Linked DNA regions of Caenorhabditis elegans. The protein of the gene in region 1 purifies or fractionates together with the protein of each later gene. This does not show direct contact. Each region holds a gene or a part of one and is shown in the gene's direction. Other genes may lie near its edges.

Evidence for each region.
Region 2: the proteins of clec-209 (region 1) and gstk-2 fractionate together in Caenorhabditis elegans (co-fractionation; one large-scale study listed by BioGRID). This does not show direct contact.

The regions. Positions count from the first base shown.
Region 1 is NC_003283.11:2,349,555-2,353,627, forward strand, and holds clec-209 (C-type lectin domain-containing protein), read left to right. Parts: upstream 1-2,121; coding exon 2,122-2,207; intron 2,208-2,274; coding exon 2,275-2,390; intron 2,391-2,643; coding exon 2,644-2,880; intron 2,881-2,926; coding exon 2,927-3,378; downstream 3,379-4,073. Other genes in the region: irld-53 (Receptor L-domain domain-containing protein), read right to left, coding at 142-270, 313-587, 657-771; Y19D10A.8 (Major facilitator superfamily (MFS) profile domain-containing protein), read right to left, coding at 3,805-3,927, 3,975-4,073.
Region 2 is NC_003282.8:7,239,631-7,244,239, reverse strand, and holds gstk-2 (Glutathione s-transferase kappa 2), read left to right. Parts: upstream 1-1,969; 5' UTR 1,970-1,984; coding exon 1,985-2,135; intron 2,136-2,734; coding exon 2,735-3,114; intron 3,115-3,583; coding exon 3,584-3,730; 3' UTR 3,731-3,795; downstream 3,796-4,609. Other genes in the region: elo-3 (Putative fatty acid elongase 3), read right to left, coding at 4,344-4,457. UniProt on the Caenorhabditis elegans protein: Has roles in respiratory and lipid metabolism.

The DNA.
Region 1 (4,073 bases):
TTTTACTATGATATTTCGTCGTTTTGGATCATTATAAGTGCATTTAGACAAAATCTCCACTGGCGCCACTCCACCTTTAAAAATGTTTTTTTTCATTTCGCATAATGTACATTGTGCTATCTTCCAATTTTTCAAGATTACCTTCAGGTTTGGAAGATTCAATAGTCTAACTGTGTTTCTCAGAAAATAAATATTGGAACAACCTATAGAGGTTAGATTAACAAGTCCCAAGTTTATCATATTGTGGTTGTCGCCCCACATAAACTGTGGCTGGAAAAAAATTTTGGTAATACATCGAGAAAAATCCAGTACCTCTATTATATCAACAGGCGGTTTAAGTCGACTTTTCGTGCTACACTCCACCGATTCCAGTGAAGCTAGGAACGTGCCACTTTTGAAGTCTGTCGACATTACTGCCAAGCTTCCAATTAAATGTTTCATATTTTGAAATGCATGGGATAGCTGATATTCGGACAAATTGGATCTTTCATCAATTAGGATATCTGCGCAAACAGTGCTGCAATTTGTTGGAAATAGATCCAGATTATAACTAGCGAGAGAAGATTCCGGAAAAATGCAATGCGGCTCTAAAAGATGTTTGTTTTAAGTTGGATTTATCTACACACTTATTTCAATTTCAATTATTCAGAACTCACCACAATTCTCCTCCAAAAATTTCATATAATGGTTCATTCCACCAAATACATCTAATTTATTGGAGTCCGAAACGAGTGATAACTTTAGAAAAATTAGTGAAATCAGTATTTTCATTTCAAAACTAGAAGCGAGCAAAGGAAATTTGAAAACGAAAGATGTATGAGCCAGAGGGAAACAGGTGAAAAAGTAATTTTATGGCATTTTGTGATTAGCTGAACAAAAAATAATAATTTCGATTTTGTGAGAACTTTATGGAAACGAAATTAGAAATTTTTCTAGTTTTAAGGACAGCTGTAAAAATTTTCATGTAGTTAGGGACCAATCAGCGCTGCGCAAAGGGCGTGGCCAATTTTTTTTAATTGGTCGGAGGTGTTTTAAAGGTGGACTACACTTGTTGGGGAAATTGCTTTAAAACATGATTATGGGATAACAATGACCGAATATCTTGATTAAAAAATTCAAAAAATTTGTCTAGTTTTTTAAAAATGATTTTTGGGAAATTGGAAAAATCTCAGTGATCCCCTAATTCCAATTCGAATTATCGCCAATTGAATTCGTTCGATGGAGCGCGCTTGCATTATTTTCATTCATTTTTTCTCATTATCTCTCTGATTTTCTTCACTTTTCGGGATTTTTTAATTGGAAAATGAAAGAAATGACAGAAAAAGTGAAACAATGAGAATGAATAAAATGAATCACGGTGGTTCAGTTGCTAGTTGGGTGCAAACGCGCTCCACCGAACAAACTTGCATAACTTGGCCAGGAAGTACAAAATCGAAAATTCATCACAAATAAAGATAGATAATTTCATTGCGGTCATTTCTTATATGCATAGCAAAACCGATTTTGTGATGGTTTTCGAGATAGTAGCCAATATAGGTTTCCAGACTGAGTATCATGAACCAATCCATCTAGTTTCTGTGCTACCATGGAATAAATAAAAATATTGCAAGCGCGCTCCATCGAACAAATTCAATTGGCGGTAATCCAAATAGGAATTAAGGGAAAACTGAGATTTTCCCAATTTTCAAAAAATCATATAAAATCTAGAAAAATGTTTTGAATTTTTTTATCATAATATTCGGTCATTGTGACCCCATAGGCGTGTTTTTAAGCAATTTCCCCACAGAGTGTAGCCCACCTTTTATCATTGCAGACGTTTTTTTCCATGAGTTTTTTTTGCAAAATATCAAAGTATCAAAAAATCAAAGTGGGTCAAAAATCAAATCAAAAATTATTTTTTAAAGTTTTTCTTTATAATCAAGTACTCACTTATCTGCTACAAAAAGCACACCATCTAGTCTGAAAAATCATCAATTTTCCTTAATAGTTTGTGCTCCGAAGGGTGTAACCCAACAAATCAACCTTACAAACTCCGCTTATCACACCTGACAGGCTGATAATATTTTTACATAAATAGATCAATGACTAGGAGAATGTGTATCTGGAAACAAGCTGGAAATCATGTTTCGTTTAGTGGTAGCTCTTTCGATTCTACAATTAGTCGCTGGGCAATGTGCCCATTATGAGGACAAGTTGATTGGAGATCTGTAAGTTTTTCTTAAGTTACATTTTGGAAAAAAAAAAGATTTAATTCTTAAATTTTCAAATTTTCAGATGTTACTCATTTTACACTGAAACCCGGAATTTCGACGGAGCCGAACGAGCTTGCTCGGGGAACAACCAAAATTTGGCAGTACTTCACAATACTCTACAAACTAACTTCTTAGCATGTGAGTTTTGAGGACACAAGTAGGCATAGGTAGGGCTGGAATAGCTCGGTCGGTAGTGGTGGGGACTGGAAGCCTAGATGTCAAGAGTTCAAGTCCTTCAATACACAACTGTATGATTGACCACAGTCCCCGGCCCAAACGTGGCCTGAACCAAAAGCCCAGTGTGAATACCGTACCTGGCTCCTAGATTCACATAGCGCTTGAGGAACTTAGCCTTTTATATTCTTTCCAAATACTTTAATTCCTTTTACAGCAATCGTTCGTAGCCAAACTGGCGCAACAAAGTTTTGGATCGGTTTAAGCCGTGCAACTCCGAGCTCTAGATTCCAATGGGACGACGGAACCACAATGTATTGGAGCAACTTCAATATGAATCATGCGAAGGATAACAATTATGTTGCCGAACATACGACTGACGGAAAATGGCAGACAATTGGCAAGCACCACGAGCTTCCTTTTGTATGCAGTTATGATCCGAAAAACTTTACTCGTGAGTAGAAGGTTTTTTCTGAAATAAGACAATCAGAGAGTTTTAGCAATTCCATCTGGTTCCGGGTCCACACCTGATTTCACAAATGGCCCAGCTTCGGGAGCCACTGACGAGCCGATCTCCGACGCTACCGGAGCCTATTCCACTGACTTGCCATTTTCTGATTCCCCAACTGGAGCTTCCGATCTACCATTCTTTGGATCTTCGGGAGCTACTGATTTCCCAGTCTCGGGTGGTCCATCTGATTCACCAATTTATCCAGCTTCGGGAGCCACTGACGAGCCGATCTCCGACGCTACCGGAGTCGCAAGTTCCGATGGACCATTGGCCTACTCCACCGACTTGCCATTCTCCGATTCTCCAACTGGAGCTTCCGATATGCCATTTTTTGGAACTTCTGACTACCCAGTCTCGGGTGGTCCATTTGGCACCCCAGATTTCCCAGTTTCGGACGGCCCATCTGGATCATCTGATTATCCAGTCTCCGCAGGTTTCTAATGATTTTACTGAATAAAGTTTCAAGCATTAATCACTCGTTTGTACAAGCTCAATGGACTCGAATTTTGTCGGCTGCACATTTTTTAACATGGAAACAAAACTGCTAGAAGTTCAGTCTAATTTCCTGATTAGAAATAGTGAAAAATCAGTAATGATGAAAGTTTTTAGACGTAACTCTTATCTAAATTGCGTGATAAGGAGGTTATCCAAATTGATGTTTGCATGACGGGAAACTACTGATTCGTCACTTTTCAGATTACAAAAAAAATCAAAAGTTGGGAAATGAAATAAAATTTAAATCAATGATCACTTTGTGAACATGATAAAGAGGCCAGAAATGTTTCCAGATTTTTTTTCAGAGCGTGAATCGAAGGTTGAAACTAGGCGAAAAGGTTTTTTTTTTTTTGACAATAAAAGTTTAAAAAATTAACATTTCACTGTTGGTTCTTGTTTTTTCGTATATCCCGCCGCATCGGACCTTGCCAAAAATGGGAATCCTGCGTTGCAGGCAACAATGAGTCCGCTGATAACCAGGAAAAATGTTTTCCACTGAAATTCTAGTGGTTTTTAAAGATTTTCAAACAGAGGCTAATTACCTGTTCGTTAGTATAATTCGGGCAGATTATGCTGACTAAAGTTGGGGACAGGAATTGTGAGGCGTAGGCAGTGAACGACATAACGGTCAGAGTGTAATG
Region 2 (4,609 bases), on another chromosome or scaffold:
GAAGACTGTCTAGATCGATATCTATTGGACATGCCACTCTTCTCTTCTTCTTATTTTTTATTTATTTCTGTTTCTTTGTTCTGATTGTTGATTTTGATAAGACACCTACGAGAATTGATACCGATCATTTTGTTGTTTGGTGTTGTTTCTACCAGGCAGTGAATTTTCAGTTTTGAAGGTTGAGTTGGTAGGCACTTTTTTCAACTTTTTTTCCTTGGCTTCAAAAAATATACTTATTACGCTCTTATTTTAAAGGTGTATATATCACGGAAAGAGAAACAGTCACGAGCATTTTATTTATTTATTTATTTACTTCAATACGAGCATTCAACTAGATTCTTTCAATTTGTTCTATTTCTTTACACTTTTATAACAAAAGGCATGTAAAAAATTTAAATTTGAATCACCGCGATGACAAATTCCTTTTTTTTACTTTTTTTTACTTAATTTTGCTTATTTATTTTTGCTTATTTTTGGACTTCTCAATTGTTGATTCAAATTTCATAGCCAATTTTTTTAAATTGAATTTCCTTGTTGGGCCAGTAAGATCAACTTAATGCAAAACCCAAATAAATGATACTAAAAATATTTATTTCTTCAAACTTTGAAACAATTTGCACTCTTTATGAACCAAAAGTCAAGAATGTGGCAAACATTTGCGAGTGGAAGGCAGAGAATTCGATAAGAAGAAAACAAAAATGAGTTCTAGATCTGAACTGTTAGTTTTCACATCATTATTGTTTTTTAAACTTTTCAGATATAGTTTAATTGGAAAACTTATCATAAAATGTAAAAGTTTTCCAATTAAATTTAAAAACAATATATTCCAGTTGTTTTTTCCAAAAGCCGGAACATTTTCGGAACAAATTATTCCAATCGGATTATTTTCTATTTCATTTTCTTTTTTTTTTCTCCGAAACGTGAACTTTATGAAATCCCAATTCCACAACCCAAAGTACATATTTAACCTCCAACAAACAACACAATTCTGTTCCCTCTTTTTCACCCGTTTGCACTTTATTTCTTTTCACTCACCTCGAGTCACGTGATCTCCTTCTAAGAACTGAATTTCAAAAACACAAAATGTTGTTTTCATCCGTTTCTATTTCAGCCCTTTATGTTTTTATTGAACGGTGAAAAGATCGGATCATTTTTACACTGGCTACAATTTTATTTTTTCTCATTTGTTCGTGTATGTCATATACCTGCCTGCCTGCGTGCCTTCTTAGCCCCTCGATTCTACATTCTAACATAAAATGAGCTGGGTGGTGTACACACATGATAAATTTACGTTTATCTCCCTTTATCATTTAAATTGTTTTGTTAAAAGTTCAATTAAGAAATGGCAGGTATTTTTGTGCGTATTTGGAATAGTCATAAAGCATTTAACCAAACTTCTTTCCTGAAAATATTGTTCATTGTATATTTTCATATCTTTTATCCAAAACAACTAAATGCTCAAAAATCGCACATCTGGTTATCACGTGCGGTTAGGAAAAATAGAAATCAAATATTTAGAGTACCCAAGTTTTTTTCCAAACAAAATCTATTTTTATCGTGGTCATTTGCAAACAATTCTACACTTTGTTCACTAGACTTGAGACCAACTGTTTTTTTTCTGTTTTTTGTCCGCTGATGCTCCAATTGCTCTACCACGTGTCTGTGCTCCTATCAACTCATTGGTACCTCCCTTGATGTTTACACAAATATCTTTTCTTTCTTCTCAACTCTATCATTATTGTCTGGCCAACGTGATTCGGCTGTTTTTTTTTTTCGTGCCTAATTATTTTAAAAAAAACTTTTCTACAAAATAAGAATTTTCAGAAATCTTAAAAGCGTCCCGAAGTAGTTCAAGTTGTTTTAGTACTGGAGCTCATTAAGGTTTAGAAAAATCATAAGCTTCTGTTTTTTTTTCGCTTTTTTGTCGAAAAATTTTAAAATAATTGCTGAATTTTCATGAATTTTGCAGACTTCAAGTTTCAAAATGCCGAACCGAAAAGTGGTCAAATTCTTCTTCGATGTCATTTCTCCGTACAGTTACTTTGGATTCGAAGGAATCACTCGTCATCGTTCCGTTTGGAAGACTCCAATTCAGATGAAACCATTCTTTTTTGCTGGTGTTGTCAGACATACTGGTGAGTTTTTGTATTTTTGTCTTGAAATTTCTCTAATATCCGTAAAAAAATGGAATTAGCTTTTTTAAAGTAAGGTTTTTAAACCATGACCCTCTAACAATTCCGTTTGAAATGTCAAAATAAAAGCTTTCAATTTACTTCTGGAAAAGGACATGCAAAACCTTAAGAAGCCTGTATGTTATTATTTTCTAAAAAATGCACCTCTATCTATTTATATCATAAGGTCGGCTACTTCTACTTCTTAAAATCTGCTTTAATCTGACGAAGGGCACTAGAATAGATAAATACACTTAAATAGTTCAACAATAGTTCAACATTATAATAGTTGAACATGACATATATTAACATAATAAGACAATCCAAAAATTTCAGGATTTTTCAAAATGATCAGTGAACGTTTTGATAAGTTGCCAAATGTCCCTAAAAGGACTATTTGAAAGCAATTTCGAGACATTTGGAAAAGTGATATTTGGTAATTTTATAAGTATAGGAGCATTGATAAATAACATAATTGTTTTGAAAATTTTTTTCGAATCGTGCTAATCATCAGAAAGTTGTTTGATATGTACCTTCTAAATCATATAACTGCAAGTTTTCAGAAAACCCCGGTCTCCCACTCCGTATTCCTATCAAAGAAAAGTACATGCACAAAGATTTGCTCTTCTCTGCCCAATATTGGGGAATTCCGTTCCGTCTTCCCAAGGACTACACAAATATGATGTTGAACACAAGTTCAATCGTTCCACAACGTATTCTTGTCGCTTCACAACTCCGTGATAATGTTTTGATGGAAGACGTTGCTCGTGGACTCTGGCATCGATTTTATGCATACGGAAAACCAATTTTCACAAAAAGTCAAGTTGCCGAAGTTTTGAGAGATTTGCATGTAAAAGATGTCGATGAGTTGGTGATGATGAGTGATTCGGCAGAAGTTAAGAACATTTTAAGAGAAAACACAGATGAAGCCATCGGGAATGGAGTAGGTCATTTATTATAGGAACCCAGAAAAACACGGAATCGACGAGAAAACACGCTCCACAACCAATTTAAAACGGTCCGCCCCCTAACGATGGGTCTCGTTAGGTATTTTCCGTTAAACTTGAACGTTTTTGATTAGGCTCGACAATTTTCTAGAATTAGTCTTTCTGTTATATTTTTCGAAGTGTTTAATGATTTCAACATCGAAATGATGTCTAAGAAAATTATGTGAATTTAGGGCGTTTTCACTTATCATAATAATTTTATTTCATCTATTTCAACCGAAAAAACATCAAAAACTACGAAAAATATAACAAAATAGACGACGAACGCAAAATTCCTAACGAGACCCATGGTTTAGGGGCGGAGCATTTTCAGTTGGCCCCGGAGCGCGCTTGCGCGTCGTTTTAAAATGTTTTTTTGCTGTTTTATAATATTCTCAATTGGGAATTAAAATTAATTTTTTTCAGTGTTTCGGAGCTCCGTGGATGCATATCACTGATGGTCACGGAAAAGTACTTCAAACAGTTTTCGGATCGGATCGCCTTCCACAGGTGGCCGATTTTCTTGCCGAGCCATTCAAGGGTCCAATGAGAGAGAAGAAGCCGAACGCATAAATTGTCAGATTAGCATTCTAAAAAGTGTCTAGAATTTTATCTGAGAAAGAATAACGATTAAAATTAATTCTTTCTTTTGTGTTGGCAAGAGAAATACAGAAAACGATGGAAAAAATGTGGAAACAAAAAGACTACTAATCTATTTCACACGAGTTTCAATTTGTTGCGGCAATTACAGAAAAAAAACGGAGCAAAAAAGAAAGAGCATAAGCTAACGAAAACTTGGGGTTGGTTGGGGGGACGAAGGGTGAGAGATCTGAGTATGTGTTAGTTTTGCGTGGCCTCTGATGATTAGCCGAATATAAATAAGGGAAAGCGTAAAGGTTTGATAAAAAGTAAAAGAGAAATTTCAAGAAACGAAAAATAATATTACCGGTACAGAGAGTGTAGATAGTTAGAGAGTGACAGACATCCGGGACCCAATGGGGCGGGGCGCGCGGAAGAGACGATTTGTGTCGATTTACGAAATTTTCCTCGTTGTCATTATTTCGTAAATCGACACAAATCGTCTCTTCCGCGCGCCCCGCCCCATTAGGTCCCGGATGTCTGTCACTCTCTAACTATCTACACTCTCTGTACCGGTAATAGAGAACAAATAACAATCTGATATTTTCTAATCAGCTTTTTGAACTTTTCTTCGTGCGGCGGCGGACCTCGTTGTGATGGATGGCTCAGCGATGTTAGCATTGATATCTTCTTTTGGCTCCAGAATTTCGAAATCAACAGGCTGAAAAACGAATTATTTTTTTCCAAAGATTTTTTAAAAATATGCTCATAAGTCAGAATTTTCCAAGTTTCCCAGCAAGGGTAACGGGTTTTCCATTTTTTACTGAAATCTAACAATCGAAATGTTTTTTCGATTTTTCTGATATTTCGAAA